4 linked regions of the Astyanax mexicanus genome follow. The protein of the gene in region 4 purifies or fractionates together with the protein of the main gene of each other region. This does not show direct contact. Links are inferred from orthologs where the notes say so. Each region holds a gene or a part of one and is shown on either strand. Other genes may lie near its edges. The genes, in order: nufip2, rtraf, atxn2 and fam98a.

Region 1 (7,068 bases), on a different chromosome or scaffold from region 4:
GTCAACTAATCTATTTTTTTTTCTAAATTAGTCGATTATTCAGTGATTATTTCTGCCATGATCGCTACCTCTAAAAAACAAAGAAACAGTTCAACATAAGATATAAAAAGTCACGTATACGTCTTCTGATTCTTCAGCTCACAGATGCCTTGTGCTGATTGACATTACCCTTTAGAGTGATGTGGAGAGAGCACGGCCAATTGTGCCCTCTCGGCTTTGGTAGACAATGGCAAGCTAATTTGTACCAGCAATCTCCTGATCATTGTATCAGGGATTAGCCTGCTGGACCACTCAGAGCCAAAAAAAGACTAATATTTAGTAAGTAAATATGTAATCTGTTGTGTTTGAGCACTTTCAGAGACACAGACTATGTTCATTTCAAACTATGTGAGTGAGCATTTTCCCCTCTCCAATTGCACTTTTGTCTTAATTAATGACATTATATTAAGATTGGCGAACCATGAGTGCCAGTGGGGTCTTTTAATCTAAAAGTAGTTGATGAAGAAAGAGTCTTGTTACAAATCTGACATAAAATAATTTAAGAAATCATGGTAGTTTTACTTTTAATACTTAAGTGCCTTTAAAGGCAAATACTTTTGTACTTTTTACTCAAGTGTAGGTAAAAAAAAAAAAAAAGGACTTCTGCCTTCGTAATATTTTACCTTGGTGTCCGTACTTTACCTCAAGTGAGCCCATGGACTTTCTGTTGCACAGAGGGGTATCAAGCCCCTAATATTGACCTGTGGAGCAGTGAAATGAACTGTGCTCTCTGAAATGCTGAAGCTCTATCCAGTACTTTTGGGCATTGTGTCCACCATTGCCCAAGTGCCCTCATCATCAGTTAGCTGAAAGCCAGCTAACGTTAGTCAGCCAGCCTAATAGATAACAATTTCTAACAAACGTTACATAGGAAGTACTCTGATAATAAAATGAGAGCACTTTATTCATTACACAGCTAAATAGACAGATAGAAATGTAAGCTTACAACAGTTTGGGCATTAGGTCAACTTTCACTCAGCTCCCAGTGCCAAAGACAGCTGAAGTTAGTTAACCTGACGTAGCCAGTTAGCTAAATTGGCTGGATAGCTAGCTTAGCAATCCTAGCAGCAGTTAATAGTCGCACTTCCAAGCTAACAGCAACTGTTCACGCCCCAAACTATTATTTCAACGAAATAACGTAAATTTTTTGACCGACTTTATGTTAACAGAGCTGGTAATATTGTTAAGGTAAGCTAACAAACCCTAAAAACAGGCCTGCTCACATGACTGCAGCGGCCCTGTTTGCTAAGCTAGTTAGCTTTGCTGGTTAGCAAACCGCTAGCTTGCTATAACTAGCTGTCGCTGGCCTTAAAGGTGGGACAGCTGTTTTCTAAGACATTTTGTGTATTAATTATATTTGTATGTGGTTTATTTTTGGTTTATTGAAGAGTTTAGACTAAACATGAAAGTTTTGTGCCTGTTTTTCTTTCTGCCCAACAGCTCACTTCATATATCCAACTAGCTAAAGCTACAGTGAGGTAGCCGAAGCCGGCGTTGTGCCAATTTGTGCAACGTTGTCAAAACGTGCTACGGTAGTGTACAAGTAAAGCTGACTAGCTAACTAAATAAAACAGCTGACCGCTTAGGATATTTCGATAAAAAAGCTGAAAGCATCATATCAGAGAACGTTACCACAAAAAGCTGTTAAAGGCTAAGCTAGCTTGTTAACTAGATCTTTGGGGAGGTATTTGGATGGCCTAAATTACTTTAAATATAACCTAAGATAGATAACTAATTGATGTGAAGATTAGTTTTCGTTTAGATAGCCTTTTACACTTTTGTAACATTCAAACATCGCCAAGGCAGTGAGAAAACTGTAAAATGCACTCGAGGAAAACAGAATCATCATAAAACGATACAGATGAGTATACGCATGCGTAGAATTGCTAAGTAGCACATGTCAATAGGTAGCACAACTCGACACGACACCGAGTTTAGGTTTAGTGATTAAGTTTAGTCTGTTTTAAGTAACATTAATTTTAGAGACAAGTTTATTTATTGTCTTTGCAAGCACACGACTGCTTTTTCAGTAATAGTATTTTGCATGTTTGCATAAAATGTATGAGCCACATAGTTTACCTATACATGCCAGTCAAATCAATACTAAAAATCTAAAAATATTGAGTTTGCGCATGCGTAAAGCTGATAAGTACCACATACCATTGGGTAGCACAACTCAGCAGAACACCGGGTTTAGGTTTGGTGTTGCTGAGGAACGAAGCTAAAGCAATGAGATCGTCAAAATTCACCTTTCTCTTGATACAGATATAAAATATATTGTATTAAAAGTACTTTCCACATTATAACCATCGTGCAGAAATAGATGTGAGGCTGATCAGTGGAGAAATGGCTGTGTTTTGGGCTGAAGCCGGCGCACAAGGTCAATGTCCACACTTTACTAGCCATACAGTTAGATAGCTAGGTTAGCTTGCTATAGGCGGCTATCAAAGCTGCCAAATGTCGACGGCAGTCATCAATCAAACGCCAAAACACAGCTGATCTGACCGTCCCGCCACTCTTACACCAGCACAACACCAAGCAGGAGAGGCTACGTGTCGATATTTGAAGTTTAATGAAGTTATCAGAAGCTGAGAAGAGAGCTAAGCTATTTTAACCCAACAGCCGGCTAACAGGCAGCTAGCTGTGGTGAGATGGACAGCACAGCATTACACTACACTACATTAGCGAGCTAGTTACATTCCACCAACCTGTTTTCTTCGTCTGCGTTTCCTCGTCCTGGAGCTGACAGCAGCTTTGATCATTGTTCACCGAGAATTTCGCCCGTCCTGACCCATTCTCTGCTCCAGGACTCAGATATCTCGCAGTCTTCGCCCCCACGCAGGGCCGATCCTCCATTTAAAGAGCGCAGGGAGCGAGTGAGTGAACGCGCCCGGCCGGAGGGGGGGTGGCTGTAGTGCAGCGGGGCAGAAGTGCAGACGCCGCCGATGCCCAATCCAGCTCTGCCTGGGCGGCGTTTCAGCCTCAGAAACACACGCAAATATGTGCAAGACTGTATCAGGAAAACTGCGAAAACTACGGAGAGCCTGCAGTACCAGAAAAGAAAAAATATATATTTAAACACAGTTAATGAATCATATAAAATCATTCTGTCACTTTAGAAATACTTTCCATGACTATATTATATCATTCCACCGGTGTAAAAAAATACTTTACTTAATTTGATACATCGTTCCCTTGATTTGATAAATTGTTCCACTAGTTAAATAAATCATGTCCTTATTCAGTAGCAAATCGTATTCTCATTTTTTATAAGTTTTAAAAGTCTCTTAATAAATCCGTCAATTGCTTTAATCTCAAATTCTTCCTTTATCTTAATAAACAGTTCCTTGAATTAATTTGTTTCCTCAGTTTAAAAATACTCCCTAACTATAAGAAATTATTCCACCAGTGTACAATACACTTTGCTTAATTTAATAAATCATCCCCTCAGTTTGATAAATTATTCCATTCTTTAAATAAATTCTTTCCATGTTTGATATAAAATTTAATAAACGTTTATTAAATTAAGTTTATTAATTCACTTTATTAAAAAATATTCCCTCAGTTTAATAAAGCCTTCACTTTGATTAGATAAATTGTTCTCAGTTTAATATGTATTAATTTGTTAATAAATTATATTAATTTAATAACTTTTTCCCTCAAAATAATAAATTATATGCTTCGTTTAATAAATGGTTCCCTCAGTGGTCTATATTCATTCTTTGATATAATAAATTGTTTCCAGTGTTTATAATTTTTTTGCATAATTAAATAAATCCTATCCAGTAACTTAAATTAAATTGTTTCCTCAGTTTAAAACAATTTCCATACTGCAACTATAATAAAGCATTCAATTAGTGTACAAAATAATTTACTTGATTTAATAAATTGTTACCTCAGTTACATAAATTGTTTCATTCATTAAATACATTCTTTTCCATGATTTAAAAATAATTCCCTCAGTTTTTATTAGTTGTTATCTCAGTTTAATTAATCATTCCCTTGCTTTGATATCAAATTATTCCTTCAGGTTAATAAACTGCTCCTAAAATGTATTAAATCATTTACTCAGTTTAATAAAGCCTTAACACTTTTTAAAAAAGATGCACATCACATGTTGTACATGAGGTGGAATTGAAATTGTAATCTCATGGTGCAGTTCCACTCAAAAAACAATTGTTATGTAAGATAATACAATTAATTAAGAGTAAAATATTAAATGAAGTGTCAGTGCAGTGTGTTGGCTAGGTGGTGTTTAAGAGTCGTACAGCTTCTGGAAAGAAGCTGTTTCTCAGTCTGGTTGTTTTGCAGATTGTTCTTTTCCTGCATCTGGAGGTGTAGATGTCCTTGGTGCTGGAGAGGCTGACTGACAACAGTCTTCTGTGTGGCCTTTACCACCCTCTGCAGAGCTTTCCTGTCTGCAGCAGAGCTGCTTCCATGCCACACGTTGATGCTGGAGCACACATTGCTCTCCCACCACACATCTGTAGAAGGAGGTGAGGACTGCGTTCCCGAGTCCAGCTTGTCTCAGCCTCCTGAGGAAGTTGAGCCACTGATGCTGACCTCTTCTGAAGTCCACAATCATCTCCTTCGTCTTCTTTACATTGATGCCGAGGTTGTTCTCTCTGCACCAACCTTCAGGTGTGCCTCGATATGACACAATAAGACAGCATGGATGGAGAGGTGAGCAGTCATATGTGAGCAGTGTGAACAGGAGGGGACTCAACACGCAGCCCTGAGGGGAGCCAGCGCTGAGGATCATGATGAGGGAGGAGATGTTGTGAATCCTTACAGACTGCAGCCTGTTGGTCAGGAAGTCTAGGACCCAGTTTCAGAGGGAAGTGCTCAGATCATGTGAGGAGAATTTATTGATCAGTCTGAGCAATCATTTTGTTGAAAGTGGATGTAAAGTCCACAAACAGTATACGGACATAGGAATCCTTCTGCTCCAGGTGGGTGAGGGCAATGTGGACCACGGAGGAAAAGGCATCCTCTGTGGATCAATTCTTCCTGGAAGCATATTGGCTTCCAAGATATCCCTATAGGAAACGATCCCTAGTGTCATTGATTGTGTCTTTGATGTGGGTCTGAATCGTTTTTTCAAAGCACTTTGTGAATATCGGCGTAAGGACTATTGGCCGGTAATCATTCAGACCTGTCACTGCGGAGCTCTTGGGGAGCTGGATGATGGTGGCAGTCTTCAGGCAAGTGGGGACAGCTGCCTGGATGAGGGAGACATTAAAAATGTCCGCCAGAACCTCTGAGAGCTGATCCCTTAGCACCCGTCTGGGGACGTTGTCCGGTCCAGCAGCCAATATTCTGCACTGTTAGCCTGGATAAGTTGAATTTACTTAAAGAATTGAGGAATGGGGTACGAAAACTTGAGTTAACTAAGCATAAACTAAAACTTCAAGTTATTACAACGAAAGAGGAAGTTGATTTATTTCTAAGGTAGCCCAGGGGGAATCACTACACACTGATGGTGAGTGTCAGAAACTGTTGGACACACCCAGTATGCAAATAGATGTGACAAAGTTGAATGTATATGTGCCGCAAAATAGTTGAGTATTGTTTAGAAATATTCAATTTTTTGTAAAATAGACTTAAATAATTTGAGTTTAAACAACGTATAGGTTTACAGTGTATATTCTATATATATATATATATATATAAATATATATATATATATATATATATATATATATATATACATATATATATATATATATATATATATATATATATATATATATATATATATATATATATTCTATATTCTTTCTTTGAAATATTAAATAATTCCCAGAGTTTAATGAATTAATTTCTTAATTAAATCCTATCCCCAATTTAGTACCACACAAGTCCATAGGTTTAATCAGTTGTTCCCTCAATTTAATAAATCATTCTGTAGGTTAAAGCTGGTGTCCATAAGTTTTGGGATTTAGGGCCCTCTCTGGTGAGAATGGGTAATTACACTGAGCATGCGGAAGAATCATTTTAAAATAGACAGCTGTGATGCGATCTTTTAAACAAATTATTCTGTCACTTTTTCCACTCAGTAATGCTTCTGCTTTCAGTTTAGAATCAAAATAATACGAACTGCCACTTTAAATCGTCCAATCATATTTTTTATGTAATATATTGTTTCCTCATTTTTACAGATGGACTGTGAATGAATATGACGTGATGTTTAGAATATTTCGAGTTTATTACTAAATTCATTACTAAACATTACAGTATTAAATTAAAAAGAGACTACAAAAAACTTATTTTCACAATTGTTTGTTTACTGCTACTGTAGATTTTATTTTTCTTCCATGTTTTTGTATGAACTCATTTTGAAATGGAGCTTCAAGACTCAAGTCTTTTTAAAATAACAACAGATTTTGTTACTTTTGCACTAAATTATTTTACCGATTTTTAGTTAGAATCGCTAAACATTTGTCACCTAGATTATCCAGGTGATCAAATCAGCTGCATCTGACAAAAATGAAAAATTGGGTAAATAATAATAGCAATGTATTATCTTTTGCTTCCATTTTTGTATGGTGTCAATATTTTATTAAGGTGAAAATAACATAGTGTGGCCACAAGACAATATATTTAAACCAAAATATACTATATTGAGGCCACACAATAATATATTTAGGCCATATTTTGCGTTGATATACAGAGACCAGAAGATAATATATATGTGTATATTAGGACCATGATATAATTTATACAGGCCATTTGATTATGTATTAGGGGTAGAGGCTAATATATTAAGTATAATTCATTATATATTAAGTATAATTAATTATATATTCAGTATAAATAATTTAGGCCACAAGATGCACTGTGGCCATGAGATAATATATCGAGGTCACAATATATTATAAATTGAGACCATGGAAAATATGTAGAGGCCATAAAATGATACGTTAAGTCAATTAAATAAATAATAGAGGCCACAAATTAGTATGTTGAGGGCATATTTTGTGGCCACTCTGTGCCAAAACTTATCTCCAAGACTCCACAGTGAACTTT
Region 2 (6,953 bases), about 31 Mb from region 4:
TTCAGCTTCAATGGGACATGGCAAAAGTCATGGGACTCAATATCTAAAACAACACTGCCATCTAGTGATCCAACCAATCAATGTCTTCTCAGTCCTCACTACTATAGATTTTGCAAGCTAATGCAAAGCCAGAGCCATTCAGCTCTATTTAGTTTCAAACTCTCTGAAATACATTTACATCCATTTAAATAAAATAAAAGCTCTGAATTTGTGTAAACTGAGATCACAATTTTATTACATTCTAAAAATGTTATATACAAACAATGGTGCTTTCAGAAGGACAGTGAGTAAAAACATTACACAATGTTTAAAGACGTTTTCACCATAATTCATATTTATGGTGATTCTCTGACACACAGACAAACAGACCAAATCACCTTTCCATGTAACTAATTGTCTGTCTAGCAATTTATCTGTGTCTCACTATCTAGCATGTTGCCTTTCTGTCTGTCTGTCTGTCTGACTATCTAGCATTTCATCTTACTGTCTGACTATCTAGCAATTTGTCTGTCTGTCTGTCTGACTATCTAGCAATTTGTCTGTCTGTCTGACTATCTAGCAATTTGTCTGTCTGTCTGTCTGACTATCTAGCAATTTGTCTGTCTGACTATCTAGCAATTTGTCTGCATGTCTGTCTGTCTATCTAGAAATTTGTTTGTCTGTCTGTCTGTCTATCTATCAAGCAATTTGTCTGCCTTTCTGACTATCTAGCAATTTGTCTGCCTGTCGGTCGATCTAGAAATTTATCTGTCTGTCTATCTATTTAGTAATGTGTCTGCCTGTCTGTCCATCTAGCAATTAATCTGTGTGTCTCACTATCTAGCATGTCGTTTCATTGGCTGACTATCTAGTATTTGTCTGTCTGGCTGTCTAGTAATTTGTCTTGTTAGCTGTCTGACTATCTAGAATTTCATCTCTCTGTCTGTCTGTCTTACTCTCTAGTAATTTGTCTGTTTGGCTATTTAGCATTTTGTCTTTCTGTCTGTCTAACTAACTATCTTGCATTTTTTTCTGTCTGTCTTACTATTAAACTATTTATCCAGTAAAACTGACTGACTGTGTGTGTAGCATTCATTTAAGACACCTATCTGTCTGTCTAGCAAACTGTCTGTCTACCCAGCAATCTGACAAACTGTGTGTCTGTTTAACAATCTGTCTGCCCAGCTGTCTGTCTGTTTGTTTAAATATAAATCCATTTGTCTGGCTATCTGTGCACAGGCGGTTAGAAGGTGTCTGTTGAATGATTGGTGATTGGTGATGATAATAAATAAAATAAAATAATAAAAAGCACGTTATTAGAGATTCGTACCGTTATCACCATATTCAAACCGAACAGCCAGACCCAGCAACCAGTCCACTGCCTCCTGCCTCTCCGGGGCACTGAAGGGACAGTTCACGTCCTGCAGATACTGCAGAAAAATAAACATATTAAAGATTAAAATAAAGCTGTTAGACATCCTGATTTATTTAGTGCTGCATTTCCATTAATACAATATTAACAACCCACATCACTGTTTTATATTGTGAGGCAACGACAGGAATTACCTCAAAGATGTGCATGTACGTACTAAATTTCATTCAATCAATTACTGGCATTTATATATATTTACTTTTTTTTTTTTATACTTTATGATATTTATTTTAATCCGCCAGTTACTCTTTATATTGTTAATTTATTGTTAAAATTTTGCACAAAGGAAAAAAAACTTTTACTCAAGTATGACTTTAAAAATAACCTTTTCATAGTACTTGGGCCACTCAGAGCTCGGGATGTTTCTCAGGTTTCCGCGATCCTCGATTTTATAATGTCTGATTTTCTGATCCTCCAGCCAAACAATGAAATTCCTGAACTCAGTTTCATCTGGAGAAAACGAGAAAAACCAACAACAAGTAAGCAAACTGGTAAATTAATAAAGCACACATTAAATAATTAACTGTATGAATATAAATAACAATGTTTTACACAGTAACGGTGAAACGTTTGTACACACCACCTCTCATTCAGTGTGTTTTCTTACTTTCTTAAATTAATAAAAGTCTGACATCTTTCTTAATTTTTAAAAACTGTATTAAAGCTATAAAGGAACACATAATTATTCAGTAAACAAAAATACTTTAGACTGGTACAGTATGATTGCTCTGGTAGTTATACAGCAATATATATATACACACACTCTGGAGTTTAGTTTCTTTGATTTTGCCAAATTTTATTGAATTTGTGCACCAGGAGTAAAGGCATAAAGTTACCCAAAAGCAGTGTGTAAAACTGGTGGAGGAGAACATGATGCAAAGATGCATGAAAAATGTGATTAAAAACAGGATTATGAATATGAACTTGTTTTCTTTGCATTATTTGAGGTCTGAAAGCTCTCCATCTTTTTTTGTTTGTTATTTCAGCCATTTCTCATTTTCTGTAAATAAATGCTCTAAATGACAATATTTTTATTTGGAATTTGGGAGAAATGTTGTCTGTAGTTTATAGAATAAAACAACAATGTTCATTTTACTCAAACATAAACCTATAAATAGCAAAGCATAGTTTTCCAGAACTATATCTATAATATTAATACAGTGAGGTTATTTTTATATATCTGTCTGTCTGGCCTACAATACCAGATACAGCCCTAACCCCAGACAACAAAACTAATCACACTACATGTATAGCTTAACCTAAAATTAATATATTTTTATTAATAAAACAGGATAATAGGATATTATCTAATTGGACAGTTTTTTATAAACCCTATTTTTTTATTTTATATTTTGTAATTTCTGAGCTCTGTCTCCACGTTCCTGGCTCGGTTCCCTGCTTTTATTATAGAAATAAAAGACTCACCTTTACAGTCAAACCCCTCAGGATTATGATAGTCTAAAGCCGTGAGCTTCCTGCGGAACATTCTGCTGCTTCACAAAAAGTCACAGATTTAATTCAAAACAGTGATTTAATATTTATACTCAGCACGAGCTGCTCCAGATCCAGCACTGACACAGTACATTCACTAACAAGAGCCAACTTCCGGTCGGCGTGGAAATGATTTTCAAAATAAAAGTTCAAATAAAAACATGGACACACCTTCTTATTAAGTGTTTTTTTTTATTTTATTTCATACATAGTCAATGAATAGTGATCCAGACTATGAAGGAACACATAAAAATGTGTAGTAACTTAAAAGTATTAAACATACCAAAATACTCTGTGAAAAAGCATTTAGGTGCTTTTATCTCTCTTTTAGGGGTTGAAAAGTGCGCCCTCTGGTGGCTGGCTCCAGTACAACTTTTAACCCCGCCTATTTCCATTCAACTGAATGAGAGATGGAGGAATCTTTATCTAAAATTAATGTAATTTTACATCCAGGATTTTTTTTTGTTAGTTGGGTTCTGTACATTCTGCAAGCCCCCCTCCTGTGTTAATAACCACCAGTGTTTTTCTATACAGTTAATACGTTTTATAGGAGCTATTCCGTTATATTTAAAGGGGTGTGGCGATAGGGGGAGGGCAAGCTGAGGGCAATTTGATTGACAGGTCGCCTGAGAGCGTGAACGCGCACCGCCACTGTCGCGGAGCTCACAGTCAGATCTTTCTCACATTCGGATTTTACTGTTAAAAACTACATTTCTAAAGTAAAGCAATGGCATGTTCAGCAGTTAACTGTAGTAACAGACCCTCAGAGAAACATTCTCTGCAGTTCTTTCGGTAAGTGGATCATTTCCCTCCATTAATTTATTAGTATTCATACTTTGTTCTTCTCCCTAACTGTAGGGAGTAAACTACTATATAAATATATATAAATAGTTAATTGGGTTAACCAACTCAGGTTAGCTGAGTTAAGTAACTTTTTTGGTGAAAATGACTGTGAAACAAAAAAATAAAAAAGGGGATGGCGGAGTTTGGGCAGTCACATGGCCCCGCCCCCCACAGGTCTGGCTCCAATTTGCCTGTACTGCGCAAGCGCACGCAAGATGGCAGCTTCCATATCGGCCATATTTTGGCTTCAAAACGGCGTAAGATCTCTAGTAACCTTTTGTTCTAAGATTATCATTTTATTACCTTGCTCGTCTATTCTGTATGTTTGTGTATGCTCCCCCTAGCTTCTGAATTGTAGCTGATATCCTCTACAAGAGTTTGTATTATTGTATATTGTTTTGATATGTATGTTGCTAACAAATAAAAGAAAAAAAGGGTGAAACGGAAGTAAAAAATAAAAAAACGTAAATAAATGTCCATGCTTACATACAGTCTATGTCTCAAACATATTAAGAGGCAAGAAATTCAAGTAATTGACCAGCTTTAAATTTAGTTAGTCTGGTTATTATTTTGAGTAAATATCATATATATATATATATATATATATATATATATATATATATATATATATATATATATATATATACATTGTTGTAAATGGGAATAAATAATAACACTCTCTTTCACTCTGTTTACACATGATTTGGGTTTAAAAAGAATAGAAAGATGATAAAAAAATATTTATTTAAATTTTAATATCACAGTCCTTGTACACTTATGCTCCCTGACTTGTTTGTATATTTACATATTCAGTGAATAATGATAATAATAAATATAATAATAATAATAATAATGTATTATTATTATTATTATTATTATTATTATTATTATTATTATTATTATTATTATTAAAAAGAAAATGTTGTATTAAAAATACTTTTATATTTTAACTTGTGCTCCATTCTTTTATTTATTATTTACTCTGTAGCCTTCGTTTGTATGTACTTATTTATGATCCCTGTCTTTTTTGTCGCTATATTTCCATATTAAGTTGGTAATAAAATAAAAAAAAGAATCTAACTAGAGCCAAATTCCGGTCGGCATTAAAAAAAACTTTTTTCAAAATAAAGGTTTAACTGAACAAAAAAAAAATAGCTTAGCTAAGCTAGCTCGCAGCAGTCAACTATAGTTAGCTAGCTAATACGCCTATTTATATTTACTAATTTATTTATAATTTTAGAAATAATTACTTATTATATGTTACATGTATTTATCCGCTATTATGTGCTAAATGCGGATTTTGAGTGATATTTGTAGCCTTTTGTTTGGACCGGGCCGCCCGCAGAATCCTTTAGCTCTCTGTGTTTATTAACCTAACTTTATTAGTTAGCTGATAAAACTAGATTATTATTATTATTTATTAGCTGTAATTTGGAGGTTTGGGCAGTCATGTCGTGCTCTGCTCTGGGCTGCGTTAACAGATACTCTGCGGAGAGTAATCTGCAGTTTTTCCGGTAAGTCTGTGCTGACTAAAATGGTCCGTTTTGGTTAGATAGGTAATCCAGGCCCACACTGTAAATATCCATGCCGGGATTTTCTTCTAACCGCGTGGGCGGCTCTGCTGCAGCTCCGCAATACACAGATCCGCCCGGGCAGCGCAGCAAAATCCTGGTCTGGATTATTACTAGCTGGATCTGGAGTTCCAATCTCTAGTTATAAATGTACTATATGTAGCTGTATAATATTAATACTGACATTTTTTATTCTTCCAGAGCTCTATTCACATTCATTTATCTAAAGTTATTGTTTTTACTGCAGTTTACTGCTGTAAATTTATGCTGATGTATATACATATATTGATTATAGAACTGAAACTCTATGTTGGGTATGTTCTGATATGTATTATTATTTATTATAGTAGTTTGAATCGTAAATAAAACGAATAAAAAGCCTATTTTTGGCTTTTATTTTTGGTAACAATTTTTTTTGGAACTTGATAATATTACTCTAATAACTATAGCTGGGAGATTATATATATATATGCTAAATATATATTATATAGTGATTATTTTATGCTGGTGAATATATGTATTATAGAACTGAAACTCTACGTTAGACATGTTATAGTTATGTTCTGATGTTTATTATTATTTATTATATTAGTAGTTTGAATCATAAATGTAAAGCCTATTTTTTAACTTGATCATATTCCTCTAATAACTAAAGGTGGGAGATATGGTAAATATATAATCTATATACTGATATTTAAAGACGTTTTTACATTATACAATGTTTATAACATTGATTTGACACCCAGACAATTTTTTTTAACCTAAAATAAAAGCCCAAACTAGGCTTTTCATTTATGGTTAAAATTACTTAATTTGTGAATAACTCCAGATTCATAAGTTAAAATAAAAATCTAAGATAAATAACTAGGGCTGGGGAATATGGTTAATGTATAATATATATTTATATATTGTGATATAAAATGTTTATTGCAATGTTTTGACACAGACAAAATCTTTTCATTACTATAAAATTACAGACAAAACTAAGCTTTTCATTTATCATTACTTAATTTGAGAATAACTACAGATTCATAAGTTAAAATAAAATTCTAAGGTGAATAACTAGGGCTGGGAGATAATATATATATGATATATATATATATGATAAATATATAATATATATATTGTGATATAAAATGTTTATTACAATGTTGTGAAAAGCAGACAAAATGCAGATTCTTGAAAAAAACATGCAACATGTAGCATTATGTACATTTATATTAATTAGAAGTAGACTACACAATTGATATCTCAGTTTTTTTTTGTTTTTTATTGTTCCCCATTTTTTCCCAATTTATCAGACCAATTGTCCCACCCATTTAGCTGCTACTCAGCTGTATATCCCCTATCACTAGTGATGCCCCAACACCAGGGGGAGGGTTAAGAAGACTAGTACATGCCTCTTCCGATACATGTGAAGTCAGACTCCTCCTGTTTTTGAACTGTTGCTGATGCAGCATCGCCGAGTAGCATCACAGCGCTAACGCTCGGAGGAAAGCACAGTGACTCGGTTCTGATACATCAGCTCACAGACGCAGCCTTGTGCTGATCCACATCACTCTTGGAGTGATGAGGGGGAAAGAGTGCCATCTACTGTACCCACCCAGAGAGAGCAGGGCCAACTGTGCTCTCTCAGG
Region 3 (6,986 bases), on a different chromosome or scaffold from region 4:
AAATAATTTTCATCATCTTAAAAAACACATAAACCACTGCAGATTTCTGAGTTTCTGAATACCACCAACAGTGCAACTGTCTTACTCAGTTACCACCTTCAAACAAATGAACATTTAAATTTATGATTTAGAAATTAAATATTTAAATTACCATATTACTGTGACAAGAATCATTTTTAAACTACATGGTAACTTATGGTACTTATGGTAAATTATTAGCACTTCTCTTAACACTTCGATAAAGGGAGATTTTTACATTACTAATTCCCAAATTAATAAATTAGGCACAAATTAGTATTTTTAAACCTTTACACAGAGACACAAGTAAACTTTTTCATGTCAGTGTTACCTCAAAAGCACTTGATAGGTATTTCAGCAGAGGAGTCACAGAAAATGCTGAAAGTTGCATTCTGCACCCTTCATTCCTTAATAAGGAATGAGTTAAGGGTTATGTAGCCATATACACAGTGCCCCACAGTGAAGTGTCACTTATTATATAGAGAGGACTTTAACCCATTACATGAAGATTTTAACCAAAAAAAACTTTAATAAAAGGTTACGTTATATATCATTCTGGTTAACTGTGAATCCTGAAGGTGCTGCAAGGTTCTCATCATACACACACACACAAATTGCTAGGCCAAAACAACACAATGGTTTAGTAAATCATAACATAGTCAGATACCTTCTGATCTGTATTAGTTTACTTATGTTATTAACTAATATTATACTAACAGGCACCCCACATATCCTGGGACTAGCATATGCATACTTGTATTAGATCTATGACGTTCACAAATCTTGGAGCACTCTTGGAGCAATCAAATAAATGACAGATGAGCCTGACTGTGAGAGCATCCTGATTGGTCTTCTCATGTGCTTATTAGGCAAGATTTACATCCTGATAGGTCTCCTAAGTTTAAAAACAAATCAATCAGTGTTATCCTCATCAAAAATAGATGTTGAGGGACACATAATAAATTTTCATAAAGCAGAAAAGAAAACAAAAGGATTTAAATCAATTACAAAAATGACAACTGTATTTACCAGCTGCACCTACTGACATGAAGCTTGTTCACATGGAATGTGGCAAGAAAAGCCATTAGCTCACAGACACACTGCGCTGACTTGACACTTTTTTTCATCAAACTTAAAATCCATGCCTGCCGAACCTGCAGCAAAGCAGAACCCTGTACAAATTACCCAGCCACAGAACAAGCAACATCTACACTGTACCAGACAATAAACTACAGCAAGCCATTTTAGCTTAAAATCACACCAAATTCAAACGCAAACTCAAAGGTTTAGTCATGTTACCAAAATGACATTTACTTTATTTTGACTAGTCATATACTACACTTGATTTACATGTAATCTCACTCCCTCTTATCCATTACTACATTTTTACTAGTAAATATTTCAATTGCCGATATCTACAAAACATCTATAAGTACAATTTATTACTACAAAATGTAATTCAAATTATAATGTGATCGAGTCTCATTACTTTGAGATACATCATTTTTTTATGTTTATAAAAACCTTATTTGATATACTAAATCATTATTTTAGATTCTTCCTCATTATTATGAGACACTAAGTCGTTTTTAGATGCTCTCATATTTTTGAGATACTAATTCATATTTCTGTTATGCGATCTTATTGAGACACTATGTTGTTTTTGCGAGAAGCTTTTTCATTATGAGATACCAAATAATTATTTTAACAGACTAAGTCGTTTTTCAGATGATCTAATTAAAAAACAACTAAATCATTATTTGTGATACTAAATAATTACTAGGAGATACTAAATCATTATTTTGAGATACTAAATAATTACTTAAAGATACTAAACCATTTTGTTAAGGTTCTAAATCAGTTTGTGAGATACCAAATCATTATCTAGAGGTAATAGTAGATTTAACAGAAGTTATGTGAAGGAGAATGAAAACAAAACACAGACCGTATCTACAAATATTGAAATGAAATCTCAATAACGGCTATGCAGTTGAATTAATAATGAATAATAATTAGGTGGCAGATTATTTCAGTGGCTAGTTAGTTAGTTAGTTAATTGGATGGATGTGTACAGCTAACTACAGTGGGTGCAGCACATTTTAGTAGGCGAGTGTGTGAACCCCCGTCCCGCTGTCTAAACCCGGCCTAATAAACACCTCTCTGTCCTGCCCGTGCCTGGCTCACTCCGGCCTATAACCCCACTACCAGCAGCTAAGCTAGCCCGCTAACAGCGCTTTCTCGGCCGCTGAACAGCGGAGTACCGCGGGCTGCAGTGTTTTAACACCACGCTGAGGGCTGTAAGTGTGTGTGAGGGTCGCGGTGTTCATGTATTCAGAACTGTCACACAGAAACGCAGGCTGTCACCCACCTTCCCAAACTCTGCCGTCCGAAGCCCGCAGCTCCGGAGGCCGCAGCAGCCCCGCTGTTGATCCCGCCGGGTTTGCGATTACCACCGGCCTGCTTCATTGACATGGTTATCCCATAAACGACAGCTTTAAGCGGAGTTTTCTAGCTTTAAGTGTTTGGAGGGAAATCTGTCCTACGCGCTGCCGACAACAGCAGAGCACGACACGCTGAAATCCTGCCTGACTTATTGACAGAGGAGCTAACGGCTAACTAGCTTAGCTAACGAATGACAGCTAATGTTAGCCTACTAGCTAACTAGCCTAGCCTAGCCGCACTGAGTCCTTCAGCTACAGCCTCTACTCCAGAGCTAAATCAGCGAGCTTAGCTTAGCTAGCGTGTCTTTTCCTCCTTATAACAGAAACACTGTCTGAAGGAGAGCTTCTGCTGCAGGCTGTTGATTTTCTCCAGCTGTATGCGCTCTGAATTAATGTAGCTTAGCTAGTAAACCCCTCTGAGTCTGTATCTCTGAGCTGTAGTATCGGCTGACACTGAGGCGCCCCGCTGCTCTCAAAGACCTAAACAGTCTGAAAAGACACAAAATGTAGCGGAGGGATACACACATACACACACACACACACACACACACCAGCCGTGCAGTTATCTACTCTTAAAATTCAGATTGACACTGAAGAAACACTTAAAAAATAAGCGCAGTTCCCTCCCCTGAGCCGCAGGTCGTGCTCAGGTTTGCGGGATTTTGTTGTCTTTTCCGAGTTTTGATAGATGTGCGACCAAACGTGGCGCACTATTTTCAGGAAGTTAACAGATCACCGTGGGAGCGGAGCAGAGTAGTGCTGAGGCAGCCACGTGAGCTCAGCCGGCTTCTGAGAGACCCTGAACAGCACTGACACCGATTCATTGACACCGATTCACTGATACTCATTCACTGACACCGATTCACTGACACTCAATCACTGACACCGAATCTCTTTCTCTGATTCACTGACACCGACTCACTGACACCTATTCACTAACACCTTTTTTACTGACACCGATTCACTGACACCGATTTACTCACACTGATTCAGGGACACTGACTCGCTGACACCGATTCACTGACACCGATTCACTGACACCGACTTACTGACACCGACTCACTGACACCGTTTCACTGACACCGACTCTCTGACACCAATTCACTGACACCGACTCACTGACACCGACTCACTGACACCGATTCACTGACACAGACTTACTGACACCGACTCACTGACACCGTTTCACTGATACCGATTCACTGATACCGATTCACTGACACCGACTAACTGACACCGACTCACTGACACCGTTTCACTGATACCGATTCAGTGATACCGACTTACTGACACCGACTCACTGACACCGTTTCACTGATACCGATTCAGTGATACCGATTCACTGACAGCGACTTACTGACACAGACTCACTGATACGATTTACTGACACCGACTCACTGACACCGTTTCACTGACACTGACTCACTGACATGTTTCACTGATACCGATTCACTGATACTGATTCACTGACACCGTTTCACTGATACCGATTTAATGACACCAATTCGCTGACACCGTTTCACTGACACTGACTCACTGATACCGACTCACTGACACCGTTTCACTGACACCGACTCACTGACATCGTTTCACTGATACCGATTCACTGATACTGATTCACTGACACCGTTTCACTGATACCGATTTAATGACACCAATTCGCTGACACGATTCACTGACACCATTTCACTGACACCGTTTCACTGACACCGTTTCACTGACACCGACTCACTGACACCGTTTCACTGACACCGACTCACTGACACCGTTTCACTGATACCGATTTAATGACACCAATTCGCTGACACCGACTCACTGACACCGTTTCACTGACACCGACTCACTGACACCGTTTCACTTACACCGACTCACTGACACCGACTCACTGACACCGTTTCACTGACACCGTTTCACTGATACTGATTTAATGAAACCAATTCGCTGACACTGATTCACTGACACTGTCAGAACTGTCAATCCGATGGGAGATTGATCCAGCCAAAAATAAAACAGAATTGAAAAGAATAAAATGCAAATGCTCTTTTTAACATTCATTTGTCCAAACGTGTGAAAATTAAAAATAACATTAAATAAAACTTATTTGCAATTTAATTATTCACTCAAGCACGGGTAGTCTGTGCTAAAAATAAAATGTAACCCTCTATGTCATGAATTGTATTTTTTAATCATATAATCAATCAAGATATTTTGAAATAAGATATAAAACAAATAAAATAAAAATAAGAATTTAGTAGGAATTTATCAATCATAGGTAAGAAAATCAAAGGTAACAAAAATGAAGGTGGTTTCAGAATAGGAGTTTATTATTTTGTGACACCATTAAGCTAAGCTTTAGTGTTTCCCGTAGTGAATTCCAGCTCGCTGGTGCTGCACTGTAGCTAAAAGCAGATTTTCCCACTTGATCCAGTCACTGGAGCGAGTCTGATAAGTTGTATCATTTTTAATAAGCATTTGTGTGATGTACGGTGGCATTTTTCGTGAGAAAATGTGAACCACTGCTTTATCATGATTAATTTAATAAAAGTGGTCTATTTGCATAACGTTGCCCAACAAAAACACTGTTTAAGTAAGTTTACAACAAGAATGAAAAAAATTATTGCATACATATTTTTTTTGTTTGGCCCACCTGTACGTCTCATTGTATTGGACGTAGATATGTATTGCAACATTGTTTAAAAAAAATTTAAATAAGGCAAAGCGGTGGTGTAATTGATATGGTGTAATAAACAAAAGTTTGGCTTGTTACCTGAGGCAACACTTTGCTGTGGAGGATTAAATAAAAAAGTTAGTGACATTTTATTTTCATTAACATTAATGAACATATTGGTATTTCATGGTCAAATCCAAAATGAAAAGGTTAATAGAAAAACCTCAAACTTTACTTTGGCTTGTTTTTTTTTATGAGTAGCATAATAAATGTCAAAATAAAAATGAAAGTGAAAAGCACCACATATTGCTTATTTACTTGTTGTTTTAGTATATTAAGCCACGTTAAACTTTTTCCTTATGAGAGGTTTCAGTGATAAGAAAACATGTTAAGGCTTTTTACATTAAGCGTTTTAGACCTCCATCCCCTATCAGTATACAGTCATTTCACAACAAATCCACAGAGATCATGATTTCACTAGCTAGCAGTTCCTAATAACACATACTCCATGAACTCCCATATATGAAATGCTGCATCAGGAGGCACTGCCCACTGCTAATTAACATATATTTACATATGCCCAGCTTAAATCAGCACAAGGTGGCGCTTTCCAAGTTTATTTCTTTTTTTGCCACTTGAAGCTGAATCCTAACCTGACGGTTTGCCTTTATTTTTCATCACAGTTGAAAAGAAAAAGATAAGTGCATATTGCATTTTCATTTTGACACTTATTATGTGCTTATAAAGCGAAAGTGAAGTGTTCCTTTTTCTATTCAGCTTTTAATTTTGGATTTCACCATGAAATACAAGTGTGTTAATGAAAATTAAATGTCAACTTTTTTCATTTAATTGAATTTTTGTCTCATACTACCTGTGCTTGAGTGAATAATTACATCTTTTAGGAGCAAAAAATGTAATATTTGGAAGTTCAGGTGTCCCTTTGGATATAGCAAACCTACATTTAGATTTTGACTTTTGATAGCAAGCTAATATTTTGAATCAGATGTTTCAGACTAAGGGAGCACCAAAACATGCAGGGAAGGAGAAAGTCTCCAGAACCAGAGAGTTCATGCCTCATCACCTTACAGAAGTGGTCTAACGGCAAAAGGCAAATTTCTAACAATAATGTATGAATCAGCCAAATATACTTCTTTACATATTCTTGCATACAAACATATTTTTATTTATGACCCACTGATACGCCTCATTGTATTGGACATAGAGATGAATAAATGGATAAGTAAGCAAGCAAGTATTTACATTACATTTGGCAGACGCTTTTGTCCAAAGCGACTTATAATAATGATGTACATAGAGTAATAGAAGTTAAAGGTAAAAAACATCTTTAAATAGGGCCTAAAGAAGGTCAAAGGTAAATAATGGGATAGAGGAGTGAAGGAGGGGAAGAAGGAAATGAGGTTAGAAGTAGTTAGTGTGTTAGAGGTGTTAAGAGAGTAAGTGCTCTTTGAAGAGCTCAGTCTTCAGGAGTTTATTAAAGATAGCGAGAGATTCTCCTGATCTGGTAGTAGAAGGTAGTTAGTTAGAGGTGTTAGGGGAGTAAGTGCTCTTTGAAGAGCTCTGTCTTCAGGAGTTTATTAAAGATAGTGAGAGATTCTCCTGATCTGGTAGTGGAAGGTAGTTTGTTCCACCATTTGGGGAACTCTGTATGAGAACAGTCTGGATTGCTTTGTGTGAAAGTTTGTTTGGTAAAGCGAGGCGACGTTCATTGGAGGAGCGCAGCGGCCGGGAGGTAGCGTAAGCCTTCAGGAGTGAGTGCAGGTAGGAAGGAGCTGTTCAGTCATCAACTTTTAGGCGATTGTAAGATGTAAGTTAGTTAGTTAGTTAATTAATTAATGGGA
Region 4 (7,905 bases):
CGACACTGGTCATGTTGATGCCATACAGATTCATGTCAAAAATCCCGAACTATCCCTTTAAGCAGCGTTTACAGTTCCCTGAAGCATTGTTAGTGTGTTAGTACAGAAAAAGATGCCATTAATCAATTAAATTATATCTGCAAGACTTGGTGCCCAACTGTAGTGAGCTATAGGCAAACAGCGCACTGTGCAGCTTGATTTAGGGCAAGTCAAAGTGTCTTTGCTCTCATAACAACGGGAAAAGTATGCCTTGCATGGCTCAAAAAGCGCAAAAGGCATGAACTAGTTCTTTTTATTAATCACGGGTGTTTTTTGAGCATAATGCGAAATAAACCCATCAGTGTGTCACTTGCCATTCCCTTTAAGAGCCAGGTGCGCTCTGACTTTGGTGGATTGCTATTTTAATGGAGCAGTGCTTTTGCACTTCTTAGCTTAGGAAATGGAACTTTACTGGTACAGCAATTTATTTTATTGTGTATTCTGTTTATTGCTGATGTATCTTACACAGGGTGCAGGATATTTTGTGAAAACGATTTCCAAAAATGTTGGTGATATCATTGTGTACGATACAATACAGCACACCCCTAATATCAATGACTCACAGTTGGTGGCGTGCACATTCTCCTCCAGCCTGCAGTAGAGTTTGAGCTCAGAGACGAGCCAGGCACACAGCTTAGTAAACTCGGGTGAAGCAGCTCCACCACTAAGGGCCATTTGCAGAGAGCCATCTTCCAACAGGGGACCCTGATACCTGCAAAGAAACAAAGGCAAACTTTTAGATACTAGTGCAAAATTAAATTTTATTGAAAAGTTACTTTATTTCAGTAGTTCAGTTCAAAATGAACGAAATTCGTATTAAATAAATGTATTACACACAGAGTGATTTACTTTAAGTGTTTATTTATTTTATTATGCTTGATAAGGGCTTAGTGATCACAGATAGAGAAACACTTTTAAAATACTTTTGAACACAAAAGCATTCCATCTGTGGCTTCTGCCTTTATAGGTGCAGTACGAACACACACACAAACATCAGCAAACACACACCCACAATGACTCATAATGAACATTAGGACTGCAACTAATGATTAATGACTGGTAGTCGACTAACTTGATTATTAATTTTCAGATTAATTATTTTCTACCATGAGCTTCACAGCTTTAAAATGAAAGAAACAGCTGAACATAGGATTTACAATACCATTCAAACGCAAAGGAGATGTTTAAATGTGATGCGTTCTGATATTTAGTGAGTAGATATGTAATCTGCTGCGTTTGGGCACTTTTGTAAACTAGAGGTGTCTAGATTACTAGGGGTGCACGATGGTATCAGAATTACATCGACATTTGGCCAGTATTGCCAATATTTTATATGTTCTGGAAAAGTACAAAGTCCAGCTGAGAGTGGTACTAATACTGTCAGACACTGGCCGTGCAACTTTAAAATTAATACGAGGCTGAAGTTAAGAATGAATGAATTACACTAGAACAGCAAATTCATGTAAGTAAAACTAGGTAAGATGTGGAAGATTGTGTATATAAGATTACATTTAATAACTTAAATGTAAGTAACTTAATGTAATCTTATGTACATGAAAAAGTCCTTCAAAATCACACTGGAACATCAGCTACATGTTTATATATATATATATATATATATATATATATATATATATATATATATATATATATATATATACATATATATATATATATACATATATATATATACATATACATATATATATATATATATATATATATACATATATATATATATATACATATATATATACATACATATATACATATATACATATATATATATATACATATACATATATATACATATACATATATATACATATACATATATACATATATACATATATATATATATATATATATATATATATATATATATATATATATATATATATATATATATATATATATATATATCGTTAAGCTACATTGCCCCAATTTTACAACATAAATTCAGCTCGGGGCAGGCTAATACTTGGTTTTCCTTAAAGTAGGAGAAAATAACTCTATTTAGCATATTTCCTACTTAAGAATGAATGACTTACACTAGAATTACACTAGAACAGCAAATTTATGTTGTAAGTAAAACTGGACAAAATAAGTGGTGGAACTTTAAGTATATAAGATTACATTAGATAACATTGTATATTTAGCTGTACATCGTTCCTTTATTATATCTCCTTAAGTCTGTGAGGTGTTTAATATAAGTTAATCTGAGCAGCAGTTTGTTTGAACATCCACTTTTAAATTAAATTAATTGATATTAATCTCATTTAGGATTAATTTTATTAGATAATTAGTTTATTATTTTTATTAATATAATAAATGTATAATATCGGATATTGGTATCAGCCCAGAATTCCCACATCGGTTCCTCCCTATTTATAGCAGTCAGTCAGTCCTTCAGTTTCGCGTTTCGAGTTTCAGTCCACCTTAAATTCTGCAACACTCCCATGCAGTCACATGAAGCTCCACACTGTAACAGCTGCGCATTTTAAGGTGGACTGGAGAATTAAGCATAGCTAGCCAACTTTAGCTTCAGCAAAACTATAAAAATACAATTATTTAAACGCTGTTAAAGCCTAAATCTCCCGCCGGAGCGTTTTACAGGTGTTTATTTAATAAAAACATTCTAAACCCCGCACTAACACATAGCGAATCTTCCAGAAAACCGGTAAAACCGAGCTGATCTGCAGGAGTTAGCTCAGCACGCTGGACGCTAACCGGGGCCGCGAGGCTAAATCTGCGACCTGTAGCTGTTAAACCTGAATCCAGTATTAAACCCGGGGCTTATCGGCGCTCCCTGCTCACCCCAGGTCCTCCAGAGAATCCAGAATATCGACTTCCATTCAGTCGAAGCGACGCAGCGCTCCCCAAAAATCACAAACCGCCTCTTTACCGAGACTGACAGGACCGGGCGCCTGGCTGCTGGGTTGGCATAACCGCCAGAGAGCGTATAGAGAGGAGACCACCCATTTAACAGCGTCTTCAGGGAGCTCTATGAACTGGTTCTTATGGGACAACTCAGCAAAATCAGTTTGTAAATGTTTAATCTGTTTTTAAATACAGAATCAACAAATGTTCAAAAGCATGGTTACTGAGTACGACGCAGTTTTTTAAAGAATAAAATCGTAATATTACGAGTATATAGTATATTAATATTACATTTTGAGAAAAAGTAGCAATGTTAGGAGAATATTACGAGATTAAAGTCGTAATATTACAAGAATAAAGTCATAATATTAGGATATCAATATTTTTAAATTAAAGTTATAATATTTCGATAATAGAGTTGTAATATTACAAGATTAAAGTCGTTACAATAATGAGAACAAAGTTATACTATTTTGAGTTAAAAGTAGGCTAACTACTTTGGGCTGCCAGTTTAAGAAGCACGGACATTCGTTTTACGAAGCTCCACACTGTAACAGCTATGGTGTTTGCTTAGTGGTTGCTATGGTGTTGCTTAGTGATTGCTAACTTGTCTAACATACTTATTAAGCACGGACATTCGTTTTACGAATTTATTCTTGTAAAATTATGACTTTATTCACTGAATCAAATGTTTTTTTTTTTTGTTTTGTTTTTTTTTTAAGTGGCTCTAAAACGCTGTCATAACTAAGCACACAGATTTGTCAACATGATGTTTGATTCAGGGCATCCTTAAAAAAGCACATAGAATAATTATAGATCCTTTCCATCATATTTTCCACATCATATTTTTCAGCTACTCCTTTCAGAGAGACTTACGCTTCTCGAATAGTTTCCCCTTCTTCAGTAAGCTTACTAAATTGTTCTAAATTGTTGAGTATTGTATAACACAGTTGTCTGTATAACCATCCAAGGCTCAGATAAAATCCTTCTTTCATAAATTTCTTGTGAAATACAATAAAAAGTTATTGCTCAGATGAGAAAATCAATAAAAAACAGCTTGTCTGAGCCACACAGCAATGCTACTGGACAGCAGAAAATATGGGTGTTCTAAAACGTTTGGCCGGTAATGTATATGTACAAAAAATAAAAGAGAACTTAACAACATTGATCTAAAAAAAATATGATTAGAGACAGCATGATTTTCCAGTACGTATGTCTTATGTTAAGCAGTGACCAATGTTATTGCACATAAGCTGGCAGTAAATAAATAGTCATTACGAAATGGTAATGAGTAATTTGTAATTAGTATAACCTGTATGTGTGTGTGTGTTTTATTAATTACATAAACCTGCCCAAATCTGGCCTATTATGAAATAATGATGATAGTTCATTTATGTGTATTAAATGAGCCTTTTAAGAATATTCTAGCTGTATCTCCAGCAGCATCAGCTCACCAACCATACAGCTCACAGTAGCAGCAACGCTAGCACCTTTACTTCCAAAATCTCGTATAATATAAAAACATTGAAACATACTACTAACTTTTCTTTGTGTTTATATCGAAAAACTATAGTTATCTTTCTAAAATTAAAGGAATAATGCGGACACGTAGATGCTTACTATTTTAATCTGAGTTTTTAGCCGTTTAGCTTCATTCGCACCCATTCATTCTTGACTAACTCGTGGGCTCCCTCTATCGGTTAACAGTCAGTAGTAGGGACAAAGGAAGTGGCCAGTTTCTCCTTAAACCGGCTCTTTAACCAGGTCCTAATGGTCCTCTTCAGTTGCTAGTCGCCAACATGCCGGTTTTTACAGCCTGAGAAATTTACACTGTTGGAAAAGATCTTTTTGTATGAGACAGAGACTTTGCCTGGATTATTTACATGCAAACCTCTATAAGAAGAGGAGAAGACAACACGCAAAATCGACAAAACAGAGCCTAGCGTCTAGTGGGCAACTTAACAGTCAGCACTCGCCAGCTTGTGCGTTCCACTTTCAGAAAGCAGAGGGCGATAGTAAGTGGGTCAATCCCAAACTGCCCCCTACTCCCTACACCCTACTGCCCTATAGTGAACTTTTTCTTTGTACATACAGCTCTGGAAAAAGGAGGGACAACTTTAGTTTCTGATTCGGTTTCTCTGAATTTGCTATTTATACATATATGTTTGAGTAAAATGAACATTGTTGGTTTGTTCTATAAAGTACGGACAACATTTTTCTCCAAATTCCAATAAAAATATTGTCATTTAGAGCAATGCAAAGAAAAGTTCATATTTTAAGAGTTCAGAAATCAATATTTGGTGGAATAACTCTGGTTTTCATTCACAGTTTTCGTGTATCTTGGCACCTTGCCATGGTGTTGCAAGGTGGTTGCTATGGTATGCCTGGTCGTTGCTATGGTGTTTGCTTAGTGGTTGCTATGGTGTTGCTTAGTGATTGCTAACTTGTCCAACATACTTATTCTTGTTACAAGATACAAAAATGAAGAAAAAAACATAGAAAAATGAAAATAATTAAGAAAACACATCCCACATTTCTTTGCCATATCAAATGGAAAACATGAAATAATTACGTTTTACACTCAACTTTCTATTATAGCATTTAGTCTTAAACAGTACGTAAACAGTAAAATTAAACAAAAATCGTACTCTGACCAAACATAATATTTATTACCATCTGTATCAAATCTCCGTGGCCTTCAGAAACTCTGGTGCACTACAGAGTGCGCGAGGAGTGTGGATTTGGGACGCAGCCCGTGTAGCTGAGTAATTCAGTGCTGTGATCTACATTACCTGCAGGTGAGCAGAATCACAACACAGACTCATTCATTAACACACTCATTAACTTCTTTAAGATAAATTATGGAGCTAAAGTCTGATAGTGGAGTAAAAAGCGCTGCTGGGATAGTTTAGCGTTAGTTTGCTGGTGAGGACTAAATGCCTGAATTAAGTTACAGTGGAGACTTAGCTTAGTTTAGCCTAGCCTAGCGTTAGTTTAGCTGCAGCTAATCTCCCACAGAAACAGCGGAGTGGTTATTTTATCTAGGCGAGCTGTACGGAGATGTATTCCAGACCCCCAAACCCGAACTACCACCGGCCGCCCTTTCACCAGAGACCCCCGTTTCCCCCCGGCGGCGGCGGACAACCTCCCTTTTCAGACCCGTATAACAGGCCGCCGTTCCCCCCACCGTACCGGGGAGCTCCGCCGCGGCCCCCGCCTCCGTACCGGGGATCCGGTCCCGAGAGCTTCAGCGGAGCGGCGACCAGAGACCCGTATTACGAGGTAAAAACATAGATATCTACTTGTATATCTATCTACCTATCTATCTATCTGCTTATATATCTATCTATCCATCTATCTATCTAGCTACAGTATCTCACATACATGAGTGCACCCCTCACGTTTGCAAATATTTTATTATATATTTTTAAGGGACAACACTGAAGATTCAACACTTTGATACAATGTAAACCAGTCAGTGTACAGCTTGTATAACAGTGTTAATTTAAAACTGTTATTTTCCATCTCTTGGGCATGGAGTTCAGTAGAGCTTTTCTGGTGACCACTGGAATCCTCTTACACTTCGGAAAGATGGCAGCACATACGTAGCTGGTGGATGTTATAGACCTTACGCCCCTCCACTAAGCACTGAGCGACACTAAGCATCACCTCAGTTCAGCAAATGTTACCCTGTGAAATCAGGGTACACTGAAAAAAAAATTAATTTTCCCTCATGTTTACATCGACAGAACCTGTACTACTGCACTGGACACCATATAAGTTTGGAGAATTTTGGTTGGAGTTTAGCTTGCAGTTGTGTCTCAGGCAGAATTAAATAGTTGTACATAATTGAAGGTGTGATATGACTAGAAACTGGGTCTTGCCATAAAATGCTCTACCCTGCTGCACTATTAAAAAAAGACAGTGGCTACGTTTAAAAGCATGCTTTTATTAATCTTCATTCTGTTGTGGTTCTCAGCTGCTTACCTCTGTATGTACAAAATGTTGCCTGCCCAGGTACCACCTCCAAACCAGTTCCAGCACAGTCAGCCTCCTCAGGGATGGTCGGTCCAGCAGACGGATCTGCAGAGTCTAGAAGTGAGGTAAGTGAACCTTAACTTACTATAACATACTAGGGCTGGGGCGACGCGTCGACATAATCGACGTCATCGATTACGAAAATACATCGATTTGCATAACGTGCGTCGGCGCGTCGTAAATATGTTAATTAACACGGTAACATAGAAGCATAGAACTATTATTTAATTAAAATGATTTTTAAGAACAGCTAAACACAGTTCTGCAAGTCAAACGCGGAGGAGTTCACGTGCGAGAGAGAGAGAGAGAGAGAGAGACACACACACACACAGAGAGAGAGAGAGACACAGACATAATTCTGCAGCTCCCTCAGTGTTTTCCGCCGTATTTTGCGGCTAGCGCGAGCGCTTACAACTGACACCGCGGACCGCGAGGTGCAGCCGCGCTTGTGCCGAATCCGACTCTCTGCTGAATCTGACTCCCGCTTAGCGGACAGAATCGGCACAACACCCCCGCTGTAGAACTGCGGTAGTGAAAACGGCTACAAAAAAACGCCAGCGGGCATCTAAAGTTTGGGAGCATTTCACGCAAAAGGGCAACAATGTGGTCCTCTGCCATATGTGCAAAAGGAGCACTATAGCGCAAACATCCAGGAGCACTATGTCAACAGGGTCACACAGTAAGTTACCGTTTACATCAGGGTCTCCGCGGGTGTCTTTAAAAAGACTTAAGGCTGTCTACCAAAGGTTTTAAACCTGCCACAGGCAGAAATTATACAGTTTTGGTTTATATTTGTGCATGGCATTTCACAGTTTCCAGAAACAGTAGCATTATTCATAAGTTCAGGTGTTTAGCTAAGCTAGCTGCCTTAAGTTATTTTAGCTAGCGCCGTCGGCGCTGCGGTGTTACACCGTTTTCTGTCACCGTCGGAATTTTGTGACCAGTGCT

Evidence for each region.
Region 1: the proteins of fam98a (region 4) and nufip2 purify together in Homo sapiens (co-immunoprecipitation; 3 studies listed by BioGRID and IntAct, with this or other methods). This does not show direct contact. The link is inferred for Astyanax mexicanus from reciprocal best matches to the Homo sapiens genes FAM98A and NUFIP2.
Region 2: the proteins of fam98a (region 4) and rtraf purify together in Homo sapiens (affinity purification with mass spectrometry; 4 studies listed by BioGRID and IntAct, with this or other methods). This does not show direct contact. The link is inferred for Astyanax mexicanus from reciprocal best matches to the Homo sapiens genes FAM98A and RTRAF.
Region 3: the proteins of fam98a (region 4) and atxn2 purify together in Homo sapiens (co-immunoprecipitation; 3 studies listed by BioGRID and IntAct, counting the BioPlex papers as one, with this or other methods). This does not show direct contact. The link is inferred for Astyanax mexicanus from reciprocal best matches to the Homo sapiens genes FAM98A and ATXN2.

Annotation. Positions count from the first base shown.
Region 1 is NC_064425.1:29,145,980-29,153,047, forward strand, and holds the start of nufip2 (nuclear fragile X mental retardation-interacting protein 2), read right to left. Parts: upstream 3,013-7,068; 5' UTR 2,896-3,012; coding exon 2,748-2,895; intron 1-2,747. UniProt on the Homo sapiens protein: Binds RNA.
Region 2 is NC_064421.1:2,872,788-2,879,740, reverse strand, and holds the start of rtraf (RNA transcription, translation and transport factor protein), read right to left. Parts: upstream 3,018-6,953; 5' UTR 2,898-3,017; coding exon 2,837-2,897; intron 1,862-2,836; coding exon 1,737-1,861; intron 1,410-1,736; coding exon 1,310-1,409; intron 1-1,309. Other genes in the region: uncharacterized protein si:ch211-266o15.1, read left to right, coding at 5,195-5,259. UniProt on the Homo sapiens protein: RNA-binding protein involved in modulation of mRNA transcription by Polymerase II. Component of the tRNA-splicing ligase complex and is required for tRNA ligation.
Region 3 is NC_064429.1:14,080,396-14,087,381, reverse strand, and holds the start of atxn2 (ataxin-2), read right to left. Parts: upstream 3,013-6,986; 5' UTR 2,491-3,012; coding exon 2,387-2,490; intron 1-2,386. UniProt on the Homo sapiens protein: Involved in EGFR trafficking, acting as negative regulator of endocytic EGFR internalization at the plasma membrane.
Region 4 is NC_064421.1:33,954,805-33,962,709, forward strand, and holds the start of fam98a (protein FAM98A), read right to left. Parts: upstream 3,019-7,905; 5' UTR 2,895-3,018; coding exon 2,857-2,894; intron 752-2,856; coding exon 603-751; intron 1-602. Other genes in the region: si:ch211-195b21.5 (zinc finger protein 318), read left to right, coding at 5,980-6,201, 6,937-7,022. UniProt on the Homo sapiens protein: Positively stimulates PRMT1-induced protein arginine methylation. Involved in skeletal homeostasis. Positively regulates lysosome peripheral distribution and ruffled border formation in osteoclasts.